3 linked regions of the Sus scrofa genome follow. The protein of the gene in region 2 purifies or fractionates together with the protein of the main gene of each other region. This does not show direct contact. Links are inferred from orthologs where the notes say so. Each region holds a gene or a part of one and is shown on either strand. Other genes may lie near its edges.

Region 1 (4,248 bases), on a different chromosome or scaffold from region 2:
AGAGTAGCAAAATTTTCTAAATTTGAAAAATAACTGGAAATAGAAAAGCTCACCAAAGAAAATTCTATTCACCCCCCCCAAAAAAAAAACTAGTTTCTCAGTCGTATGAAGAGTATACACACATGAATGCTTGAGAAGAGGTCCTTACTACTATTTCCTGTATTCGCTGAACTGGCAATATTTACTAACAAATGCCTCTCTGTATGTCAGAATGCGGCCAGATCAAAATCCAGTAGGTCTGATTTGCTGTGGCTCATCTGATGAGCTAGGCCACGAGTCACCAACCAACAAGAGCCACAGGTGTTAAGGTTGACTCAGAAATTTTTTTCACTTCATATACAGCTATAACGTAGGGTTCGATAGTGCCGTGTTGTATAAGCTCTGAAAGATATCAGACGTATGTAATAAAGTCCTACCTGTGACACTGATGTAAAAACACAACAAACTTGAACCCTACCTTCATCCCTGTTCTTTATTTTAAAATTTTTATAAATGAGGATTTTGAAAGTTAATGTCAACATCTCTTAGGATCTCTTTAAATGCTAAGCTATGAGGGTGTTTGTGGAGGGGAAAAAAAAGAGGTCACGGTCATTGTCTGTAAGGAGTGTACAAACTATTAACTAATATATGTAGTTTGATCATTATGGAAACCAATCCATGTAAAGCTGGGGGGCTGAATTATGCAAATTAGTTTTTTACATTGATCAGATTTTAGTAGGTGGAAAAATGTCCACTTGCCTTGTTCGGGGTAGCCCTAACCAGTGGCAGCCCTGGTATCTACTATCCATTTCCCCTACAAATATCCAAATTATCCTGTTATAGCACGATTAGCATACACATGCTGACGTGTTCCTGGATTGCTTACTCTGGCAGAGTTACTTAACTTCTGCTTTGTAACTTCAGTGTTATCAGAAATTCCATAGGAACCTTAGCGTTTTTGAGCCTTCCATTTTGGTTTTTTTTAAATACACAGGTTCCTTCTCCATCCCCCACACTGATCAGAAAACAGGGCAAGTGACACTTTGTGAAAACGATAGATAAAAGAAAGCCACACTCCTCTCTATTCACATTTCTAACCATGTGATTAACCAGATATGAGCCATTTGTACCTAACTTTTCCCTCAAAGTTTTAACTGGATCATTTATTTGCCATTTTTTTCCATGTATGGCTCAAAATCTGTTAGAGTCAGCTTGGTCCTCTGGGAGATGAATTCTCCTGAAGTGGGATGGAGGCAGACCCCCGCTCTTGTTCAGATGGAAAAAGAACCTATTGTTCCCAACACCGTTTTGATGGGACTCTCAGGGAACTGACCTTCCTACCCACAGGGCCTTGGTTGCAAGTATTTGCCTGGGACACTTGCTCTAATCATTGGGAGCTTCAAAGGAAAATGATCTCAGGACAGAGAAACTGGGAAGAATTATAGTACCCCCACCCTGATGCCCAGTCTTTCCCATTCCTCCTTTTTTTGGACCTCATAAAATACAAACAAAACCCCACAAGCTCTAATCTGCCAGACACCACTAAGATCGGGTATCTTGGTGTTTGAAAACCCATGAGTTCCTTCAGCCCAAATCGGGTGTCACTTATTTGCTTCCAGTGATCAACCCACCGAGCAGTTTACGTTTGACGCCTTCTGAGGCCGGGCTTCTTGGGCGTCTGCTCCACTGAAGCCGAGTTCGGGGAACCGTCTGAAACATTTTCTTCTGTTCTGTTGGCTCTTTTGTTTTGAGGAGAGGAATCTAAAGGCAGGAGGGAATTTTAAAAAGAACACACACAAATAATCTTTATTAGAAAAAACAATGGCTGACACAAGTTGGCTCGATACTGAGGGGACAAAAAACCCACCACCTCCACCCACCATCCTGGATCCGTCATTCCCAGTGGCCTTTAAGGGCACAAAATGAGGTTGTTTTCACATAACAGAAAGTGTATTCTACGCCCCAAATCTCTCTCTCTCCAAAGCGAAGAGGGAGGTGGTTGATAAACATCCCAACGTTGTCACATACCTACAGCTGGCTAGCGGGGAGGAGCCGCGATGTTTTCAGTTAGAGAAATTATCAGATAGCACAGTCTCATGCTTCAGACTTAAAAGTCATAAACAGACCAGCAGCTAGCCAAATAGCATTTAAAACCTAAGATGAGGAAGGTGTGTTCCCCAAGAGCTAAGTCAGAATGCGCTGAAAAGAAAGCGGAGGTTTAAGATCCTCAAGCAGGGAAAACAGCACGGCAGACAAACAGAGAGAGGCAGACAAACAGACGTTTCATGCATTCGAAAGGGTCATTACCGTCTGTGGCAGGTCGCTTCCTTATCCCAGTGCACTGCTCCGCTAACCCCGTCTGGCTGTCCGGTGCATCAGTCTTTTGGTCTACCAAATGTGTGTCCTCTGAGTTGGCCTGAGACCCAATTAAAGGCACCGCCTGGCGGGTCCCGCTGACACCCTGGCCCTCCTGCGCCGGCACCTTGCAGGCGCCTTTGGGTGGCCGCGGGGGTCTGTAGTAGAACTCGGGCAAGCTGCCCTTTTCCACCTCCTGCCACTCGTATTTGCCCTCCAGGGGCTTGTGATTCTGAAAATCAAAATTCCACTTGCGCTGGCTGGCCTCTTCCATGTCTCTGCAGTGCTTCTCCAAGTCCCGGGTTAACTCTTCGTGATTGACCGGGCCGAAGAGGTTTCGGCAGGCCGAGGGCTTGGGGTACTCCGCCTGTCTGGCGTCCATCCGCTCCAGGCTCGGGCTCCCGTTAGACACTCTCACGTTTGACATCTTCCTCCCGGGGCTCGGCGACCGCCTCTCTCGCGCTCTCGCAAAACAAAACCGAACAAAACAAAACGCCTCGACCCAGCCCGAGCCCCTCTTATAAGCCCTGCGGCTGCCCTCCGAGCCAAGAGAAACAAACACCGACGAGTAAGCGCCCGAGCGTCAGGAGCGCGCTGGGGCTGGGGGAGGGGGCGAGGGGCAGCCCGGGCCAGGCAGCCCCGAGTCTCCGCCGATCAAGTGTACGGGCGAGCTGGAGGGCGGGGAGGGGAGGGGAGAGGAGCGCAGCGGAGAGAGGAGGGGGCAGAGCCAGTCCGAGTCCCCGCCGCTGCGAGCCCGCGGGTCCCGCCGACCGAGCGGCTCTCCAAACCTTGCCGGCGTCGGAGTCGCGGAGCGGCGAGAAAGTGGGGACAGGGGAGGGGGAGAAAAACACCCCGAAAAGACGAGCCCCCTTTTTTTAGTTGCCCAATATGGCGGTGGAAGGGAGGCTGACGAAGAAGAAGATGATTGACACCGCAAGTCTATTTAAACAGAGGAGGAGATCATTGGTCGCGGCGCCGGGAGCCGCCCAGCCGAGACTGGCGAGCTGGGCCTTAAGGTGGCCCCTGAGCCGCCGCTGCGCCTCCCCGCCTCCCGAGCGCGCCGCCGCCGAGCGCGCGGCCGGGAGCTCGACTGGTCGCGTGACTGCTGGAGGTGCCGGGCTGCCAGCAAACCTGCTCTGGCTGGCCTCGGAGAAATTAAAAATAAGACAAACTCGCCAAAAGGCCGGGGAGCCGGGGAGGGGCCTGGCCGGAGAGGTGGCGGGTTCTGGTCCCTGCGCTGCGCTCCGCTCCGGAGCCCCGACCTCCCTCTCCTCGCCGAGGGCGATCTTATTTTCCCCTCGCTCGCCGAGCGGGTAGGGGCGGGCAGCTGGGCTCGCCGCTGGGCGCTCGGCCCCCAGCTGGGCTCTCTCCCGGGGGGGCCCCCACCGCTCGCTCAGCGGGGGAGGCGGGGAGCCCCTGAGCCTGGGTGCCTTAGCTGGGGGTGAGCAGTGGTTAGCTCACCCTTAACCTAGAAGTCTGTGCTGTTCTAGGGGAGGCAGGGGGCTTAGGGGGGAAGCCCAGGAGGACGTCTTTCTATAAGTAGACTGGAATAGATGCTGCATTTGTAATGTATTCTGAACCCAAGCTCTCCCTCAATAAAAACAAGAAAAGGGCTTCGAGATCAAAAACTCTATTGGTCTCCCAAGTCCCTAATAAACTTAGTAGCTGTCTCAGATACATTTCGTTTAAAAAAGCGAGGATACACCCCTGGCCCAGGTTCTTGCTTCCCAAGCACTGTTAAGGCCACTGACTTGGTCTGCGTGTGGGAACTCGTCTCCTCTTTTATATTTTTCAGTTCTTTCCCGGCTTGTAGCAGTTTCCTCTACCTGAGTCCCGCCGCCAAATACAACAGCCCCTTCCTTCCTTCACCTTTCTCTCCCACCAGATTCACTTCTCCAGCCCACCCAGAACATT
Region 2 (3,514 bases):
ATAACCACCATCAATATTTTACATGCAAATGCATACCTTTAAATCTGGTATTGCACTGCATTATATTGTTATAATCTGATTTTTCTACCATTGTAACATGCATTTTGACATCTTAAAATATTCTACTGAAACATGTCATTTATGGTTGCATAGTATTTCATTAAATGGATGTAACAGATCTCCTACTACAGAATAAGAAATACTCATTACAGCACTACTTAAAAGTCCCTGACTGCCCCACTGATCATTTTCTTAGGATAAATTTTAAAAACAGCCTTACTGGGTATAAAGAATAACCATTTGAAACACACTGCCAAGCCACCCTTCTGACATGTGGGAGCAATCACATTCAATCCGTCATAATGGCCAGGAGATCAAGGCCTGAAAAGCTGCTCTGGGTTTGGTATTTAGGAGGTCTTGAGAAACTTCCAAGGAAAGGCCTTTAGGAAGGTTGATCTTGAGTATTTAGTTCTAGAATCAAAGCTTTCTTCTTCCTGTCTCATCAACAGCAACATGCTTGCAATCACCGCCTCTAAGTAGCAGGTTTGCAAATCTGTTCCTCTCTGTTAGATTTTGCTGGCACATTGCCAACTGCATTTCCCAATGGCTATCTCTGTTACTTCAACAAATCTAAAGCTAAATGAGATGACTTCCACAAAGCTACCTCACTCTCTTGCATTACCTATATTTTATTAATTTATTCCCTAAACAGTTTCTTAAATACTCAAATGCTTAATTAAGGGTCTCTCTCCTCCACTCCAAGCAGAATATACAACGAATTCCTTCTCATTACAGGATGATGTCCCTGAGAGGAGTTCTGGATTATCCTAACACATCAGATGTTGTTTCTTAGCACTTATGTACATAGGGATACATGTGTGAGCACATAGGGATACATGTGTGAGCACCTAGGAGATCTGGGCTCATTCAAGACACCCATCAGCCCTTGCTTAGAAAACTGCAATACCTCCTAATTAATGTCCCTTCCATGGCCACCCCATACTGCTTTCACCACTTAGCCTCAAAACTTTCCACAGTTCCTTACTGCCTGATGGGATAAAATTCAAATTCTAAGGCCTTCAAATCCAGCTGCAACCGTCTTTCCAACGTTGTTTGTTTTTCTCACACAAACCTTCTGATCCAGTTTAGACTTGCTGACTCTTTGCCCAAAAGGACATAATTTATAGGCCTGTTCCCACTTTGGTGCCTTGATTCCTATTGCTGCTTTGTTTCCCTAAAAGTGCTCTTTCCTCTCAGCTTCTCTCCATCCTTAAAAATCCCACTTATTGGAGTTCCCACTGTGGCGCAACAGGTTAAGGACCCAGCATTGCCGCAGCTGTGGCATAGGCTGCAGCTGCAGATCAGATTCAATCCTTGATCTAGGAACTTCCATATGCCATGGGTGGGGCTAGAAAAAGAAAAAAAAAATTCACCTACTCAAGGAAGTTTCCCCAGACCACTCCATCCCTCAAGGTTCACTCCTCTCTTTAGATACAATTTACATTCAGTCATCCATTGCCTATGGGCACAAAGCATCATGCCCTAGGATTACATATTTAATTTTCAGGTATAGATGCCCCTTCTAGGTAAACCTCCTCAAGGTAAGATGTCTCTTTATCAGCCTTAACACAACTGTATGTGTCTAGTCAGTACTCAACATATTTTTTGAAAACATCCAATGTTTTATTTTGAAAAAATTCAAACATAAATATATAAATATTCTGAGCTAGAAAGAGGCAGTTATATTGTATTCTCAGCAACTATAACAGTACCTATTTCGTTGTAATTATATGAATGTATGTAATCTATGAATGAGAGCATGCATGAACTTGAATATGGTGGAAAGTGAATGGGGCAGTGGGTCCATTAGCATTCTAACTTCAATTGAGCTTAACCAATCAAAGTTTTTCAACAGAGAATTTTGGCATTACTTTGTGCCTACATGAGTGAAAATCTCAGAATTGTAAACCTCCACCATCTTCATGGGCAAGTTCATTCTTTTTCTTTTTTTTTGTCTTTTTGCCTTTTCTAGGGCTGCTCCTGCGGCATATGGAGGGTCCCAGGCTAGGGGTTGAATTGGAGCTGTAGCCGCCGGCCTACACTAGGGCCACAGCAACGCAGGATCCAAGCCGCATCTGCAACCTACACCACAGCTCACGGCAACGCCAGATGCTTAACTCACTGAGCAGGCCAGGGATCGAACCCGCAACCTCATGGTTCCTAGTCGGATTCGTTAACCACTGCGCCACGATGGGAACTCCAGCAAGTTCATTCTTAAACAGTAAATTATAATTATTTTTTTTGTCTTTTGGGGCCACACCCTCAGCATATGGAAGTTCCTGGGCTAGGGGTCTAATCAGAGCTACAGCTGCTGGCCTATACCACAACCATGACAACACAGATCCAAGCCACATCTGCGACCTATACCACAGCTCATGGCAATGACCGATCCTTAACCCACTGAGCAGGGCCAGGGACTGAACCCATGTCCTCATGGATACTAGTTGGGTTTGTTACTGCTGAGCCATGACAGGAACTCCTTTATAGTGAATTGTTTTGTTTTGTTTTGTCTTTTTGCCTTTTCTAGGGCCACTCCTGAGGCATATGGAGGTTCCCAGGCTAGGGGTCTAATCAGAGCTGTAGCCACCGGCCTACACCACAGCCACAGCAACATGGGATCTGAGCCGTGTCTGCGACCTGCACCACAGCTCACGGCAATGCCGGATCCTAAACCCACTGAGCAAGGCCAGGGATCAAACCTGCAACCTCATGGTTCCTAGTCGGATTCATTAACCATTGCGCCATGACGGGAACTCCTACAGTGAATTATTTTAATAAAACCTACTAAATTTTCCTCGGAGGTCACTAAATTTATTTGGTTGTTAAAGTAATTAACTGTTTAATTCAAAGTTACAACATTGCATTAAAGCACCATCACTCAAAAGATGTATATGTTCATTTTCTACACTGCTGTCTCAAAGTAGAGCCCTAACTATGAGTGTTCCTCAAAAGTTGCAGTGACCACAAAGTTACCCCCTGTAGTCTGGCCCCAAACAGGCTGCTTTGTTAGGTAAGTTTGTAAATTCAGAACTTCTACCTTTGGAGCCAACATTTCCATCTGTACTGGTTTCACAGAAGCAGTAGGTTTCAAGGGCTTGTTGGCATTTGTTGTTTTGCTGGGCGGGACAAGTACCTTGATGTTCTGAGCTTTCTAAAAGAAAAAAGAAATGTGAATAGGGCAAGACAGCCAGAGTTGCCCCTCAGTCTTCTACAGAATCAGCCCAGTGTGCACATGTACCGATCTCACAGCTGTTACCTTAGCTACCTGGGTGGCTCTGGTTGTAACTCGATTTCCAATTTCTTCTAAAACTGCCCTCCTGATAGTCACATGACTCTTAGGTTTAGAATTAAGTCCTATGTCAATATTCTCCAAATCAGTAGACACCTGGAAAAGGAAAAAAAAAGAAAAAAAAATTAAGGAAGAACTGAGATAATTTACAATATTTGCTAACAT
Region 3 (4,107 bases), on a different chromosome or scaffold from region 2:
ACTTCCATGTGCTGCAGGCGCGGCCCTAAAAAACAAAGCAAAACAAAACAAAAGCTGATAAGAGGATAGAATTCCAGAGAGAGATAAATGCAATGTGAGAGTAAAGCAGGAAAGGCAATGTGATGAAATGGGGAGCTTTCTAGGGAGGGTGGCCTGACCCCCCCTTGATCCTGTTATGTGGATAAAAAGGTTCTCTCTGGTGAAGGAAGAAGCTGTTAGGAATTAGCGTTTGCTCTGGCAGGCCCCTTGCTAAGAACTTTAAGCGGATCATCCCACTTGAACCTCCAGCTCCCTGAGGTAAGCGTCATCAGCTCCATTTTTACCGGAGAGGAGGTTAATCCGAAGCTCGGAAAGGCCCGGTGCATCCCCAAGGTCGTTCGGCCAGGAAGGAGCTGAGGGGAGTTTGCGCTGAGCTTACGTCTCAAATCCAAAGAATGCGAAAAGGCCCCCTCAGAGGTGGCCGAGACCTGGAAACCGGGAGGCTTCCTGCAGAGGCAGAATTTTCTAGTTCACCAAGCTGAGCGTTCCGCGGGTGGGGGGATGTCAGGGGGACAACCCCTCACCGCATCCCCAGAGCCATGCACTGCAGGCGTGAGGAGGGAGCGGCGAGCCCAGGGGACTCCACCTGCAAGAGCCCCGGAGGCCGCGGGGACTTCCTGTCAGGCCCCTAGTGACCGCCTCTTGGGGCTACACCTCCCTCCCGGGCGAAAGGCAGTGACCCTTCCTTTTATAGAGGCGAAAACTAAGGCAGACCAGCGAGGGCCGTGGGTGCCGGGACTGGGGTGTGGAGCTCTGTCGGTGTCCGAAGGTCCCTCGGTGTCCTGGGAACCAGGCGGGAGGGCCCCAGGAGCAGGTTCCGATTCCGCGTGGTGCCTCAGCCCCTCAGGCACACGGCGCAGCCAACCCCGCTCGGAGTCAGCGCCCAGGTGGCTCCGCGCTTGCGCAAGAGCCCCGCGAAGCAGGCGGGGCGGGATCGGCGACGCGCACGCCCGGACGTTGGGGGCGGAGCCCCGGCAGATTGGGCTCCTCTGATAGGCTGTCTCGGAGAGGCGGCGGGGTAAGAGGCGTTCCTGGGCGGGGCCTCGAGGCCGGTTTGGAATTTTTGGCGCGAGCTGGCTCCGCGCGCGTTCACGGGCCGTTCCCCGTCCAGAGAGTCCTCCCCGCCAGTGTGGGGAGCGGTCCACCGAAGACCCCGGCCAGCCTGATCGCTCAGGGGATCCCCGCACCCTCAGCAGACCGGAATCCGGGACCTCGCTGAGCTGCGCCCCGCCCACCCGCCCCAGGTGAGCCCATACCCTGCCCTGACATTTCCAGGGCGGAACAGCTCTCCCCACTCTTCTGCTTCCCTCGCCAGCATCCCCTTGTCCCCTGACAGCCCTTCCCCGGATCTGCCTCAGTCTCAACCCCCTCTCGCCCCCTTGCACATCCCCCTCCGACAGCCCCACCCCTCCCCTTTCTTGCCCTGCCCCTCTGCTAACCTCTCCCTGGCCCAACCCTGCCCCGGGCGGCTCCACCCACTTCCTCTCTCGAGGCTCCTGCCCCCAGACTGCTCTTGTCCTACTCCTTCTGCAGCTTCCCTGACCCCTTTCTTTTGGGACCCCTTGCCCCCAGCGACTGCTCCCCATTGAGTCGTCCCTCTCCAGGAAAACCCCCACAGACCTGTCCCCTGACAGCTGGTCTGCTCCACTCTGTTGGCCAGGGTTTGCGCCCACGGAGGTGACTCAGCTGTGGCCCTGCCCAGGAGGAACTCACAGTCTAGTGCAGTGGACCGTGCTCAGCAGATGTGTCCAGCCCAGTGAGAGGGTGAGGCCCCTGAAAGCTGCAGAGGTCGTCGCGGCCTGGCCTCCGCTCAGGACCACCCTGGATTCACCCGGAGCCCCTGCTCCTTCTACCTCCCCTGTCCCACCCCCAAAGCTGTTTGGCCATGCCAGGGGTGCTAGAACGTAAGTGACAGTGACATTGCGATGTTTTGAGAATTGGTTTAAGATGCGGGTGCCCAAGGTCCCCAAATGTCCTACGTCTGGGCCTGGAGTCTACGCCTAACCAGCACCCTAGGAGATCCTGACACCCTGATCCTTCACTTTGAGAAACTCTGGGATGGCAGAGCAAGGGTCCCCACAGGCTGTAGGGTGAGTCTTAAATGCAGACCTCTATGGGGGGGGGGTCCCCTGCCTCCCCCTCTCACTCTCCCCAGCACTTACCCCCCTGCTGGTTATGGAATCTTTTTTTTTTTTTTTTTTTTGTCTTTATTGCCATTTCTTGGGCTGCTCCCGCGGCATATGGAGGTTCCCAGGCTAGGGGTGGAATTGGAGCCATAGCCGCCGGCCTACGCCAGAGCCACAGCAACGCAGGATCCGAGCCGTGTCTGCAACCTACACCACAGCTCACAGCAACACCGGATTCTTAACCCACTGAGCAAGGGCAGGGATCGAACCTGCAACCTCATGGTTCCTAGTCAGATTCATTAACCACTGAGTCAGGGCTGGAACTCCAGGGTATGGAATCTTTTGATACACTGTGGCTTCCTCTCAAAATTGGACTCCTCTCGCATTTTTTCCCCCTCTTGTTTTTCTTTCAATTATGACATTATAGAAACACAGTAGCCCGCTCTGCCCCAACACAGAGTTGCTTATACCCATGGACCACTGTATTTTGTGTGTTCTTTCAATTACTGCTCAGAGCTTTATGTAACAGTTATTGAGGGGTCTGCATGCCAGGCGCTACACTAAGCCTTCCATGAAGTCGGCATTATAAGTCCACAAATCCCTGAGGCCAGGTGTGTTTTGGAATTCAAAGTGTCTCTGATTTTATTTTATATTTTATGTCTTTTTAGGGCTGCACCCGCGGCATATAGATGTTTCCAGGCTAGGGGTCGAATCGGAGAGGTAGCCCCAGGCCTACACCACGCCACAGCACTGCCAAATCCGAGCCGTGTCTGCAACCTACACCACAGCTCACAGCAACGCCAGATTCTTAACCCACTGAGCAAGGCCAGGGATCGAACATGCAACTTCATCATTCCTAGGCGGGTTCGTTTCCTCTGCGCCACGTCGGGAACTCCTATACTGTCTTCTATATTACATGATTAACTTTACTGGTGCTCTTTCTTTTTCACGTAGATTTGACTTACTCTTTGGGATCACAGGCTTTCAGTCTGAAGGGCTTCCTTTAGTGTTCCTTATAAAACAGGTCTGCTAGCAATGAATTTTTTCTGTTTTTGTTTATCTGCGGATATCTGTTCTCTTTTTTTACCTTTTTTTTAATCTTTTTTTTTTTTTTTTTGTCTTTTTTGTCTTTTGTCTTTTTTTTGTTGTTGTTGTTGTTGTTGTTGTTGCTATTTCTTGGGCCGCTCCCGCGGCATATGGAGGTTCCCAGGCTAGGGGTTGAATCGGAGCTGTAGCCACCGGCCTACGCCAGAGCCACAGCAACGTGGGATCCAAGCCAAGTCTGCAACCTACACCACAGCTCACAGCAACGCCGGATCGTTAACCCACTGAGCAAGGGCAGGGATCGAACCAGCAACCTCATGGTTCCTAGTCGGATTCGTTAACCACTGCACCACGACGGGAACTCCTAATCTTTTTTTTAGGGCAGCACCCGCAGCTTATGGAAGTTCCCAGACTAGGGGTCAAGTCGGAGATACAGCCGCCGGCCTACACCACAGCCACAGACATGTGGGATCCGAGCCACCCACATCTGTGACCTACACCACAGCTCCCAGCAATGCCGGATCCTTAACCCACTGAACAAGGCCAGGGATCGAACTTGCAACCTCATGGCTCCCAGTCAGATTTGTCAACCATTGCGCCACGATGGGAACTCCTGAGAGTGCCTTCAGGCTTGAACTTTTCACACTCTGCTTCTCATCAAGTCAGTGTTTTGCAGGGAGAACTTTGGAGCTCTCTGTTTTATGACCTCTTCCCTGGGCAGGATCCCCAAGCCAGAGTTCTGGAGCGGGGGGCAGGGACAGTGGTGCCTCGGAGTGGAGGCAGTAGCCCCTGGCCTGCCTGGCTTGCCTCGCCCAGGGTGGAACCTTCTCCCTAGGAATGAGCTGAGACTTGAGCCGTGGGGCTTCAGGATTGCCAGCCCACTGGAGCTGCGTTAGAG

The links.
Region 1: the proteins of CCNB2 (region 2) and CDKN1B purify together in Homo sapiens (affinity purification with mass spectrometry; 3 studies listed by BioGRID and IntAct, with this or other methods). This does not show direct contact. The link is inferred for Sus scrofa from reciprocal best matches to the Homo sapiens genes CCNB2 and CDKN1B.
Region 3: the proteins of CCNB2 (region 2) and PKMYT1 purify together in Homo sapiens (affinity purification with mass spectrometry; 4 studies listed by BioGRID and IntAct, with this or other methods). This does not show direct contact. The link is inferred for Sus scrofa from reciprocal best matches to the Homo sapiens genes CCNB2 and PKMYT1.

The regions. Positions count from the first base shown.
Region 1 is NC_010447.5:59,733,029-59,737,276, forward strand, and holds the start of CDKN1B (cyclin-dependent kinase inhibitor 1B), read right to left. Parts: upstream 2,804-4,248; 5' UTR 2,762-2,803; coding exon 2,287-2,761; intron 1,741-2,286; coding exon 1,619-1,740; 3' UTR 1,611-1,618; intron 1-1,610. UniProt on the Homo sapiens protein: Important regulator of cell cycle progression. Inhibits the kinase activity of CDK2 bound to cyclin A, but has little inhibitory activity on CDK2 bound to SPDYA. Involved in G1 arrest. Potent inhibitor of cyclin E- and cyclin A-CDK2 complexes.
Region 2 is NC_010443.5:112,935,563-112,939,076, forward strand, and holds part of CCNB2 (G2/mitotic-specific cyclin-B2), read right to left. Parts: intron 3,446-3,514; coding exon 3,317-3,445; intron 3,212-3,316; coding exon 3,098-3,211; intron 1-3,097. UniProt on the Homo sapiens protein: Essential for the control of the cell cycle at the G2/M (mitosis) transition.
Region 3 is NC_010445.4:39,200,752-39,204,858, forward strand, and holds the start of PKMYT1 (membrane-associated tyrosine- and threonine-specific cdc2-inhibitory kinase), read left to right. Parts: upstream 1-1,296; intron 1,297-1,605; coding exon of another isoform or gene 1,606-1,625; intron 1,626-1,699; 5' UTR 1,700-1,924; coding exon 1,925-1,943; exon of another isoform or gene 1,944-2,129; intron 2,130-4,107. Other genes in the region: uncharacterized protein LOC110260113, read right to left, coding at 216-486, 754-1,296, 1,606-1,625. UniProt on the Homo sapiens protein: Acts as a negative regulator of entry into mitosis (G2 to M transition) by phosphorylation of the CDK1 kinase specifically when CDK1 is complexed to cyclins. Mediates phosphorylation of CDK1 predominantly on 'Thr-14'. Also involved in Golgi fragmentation.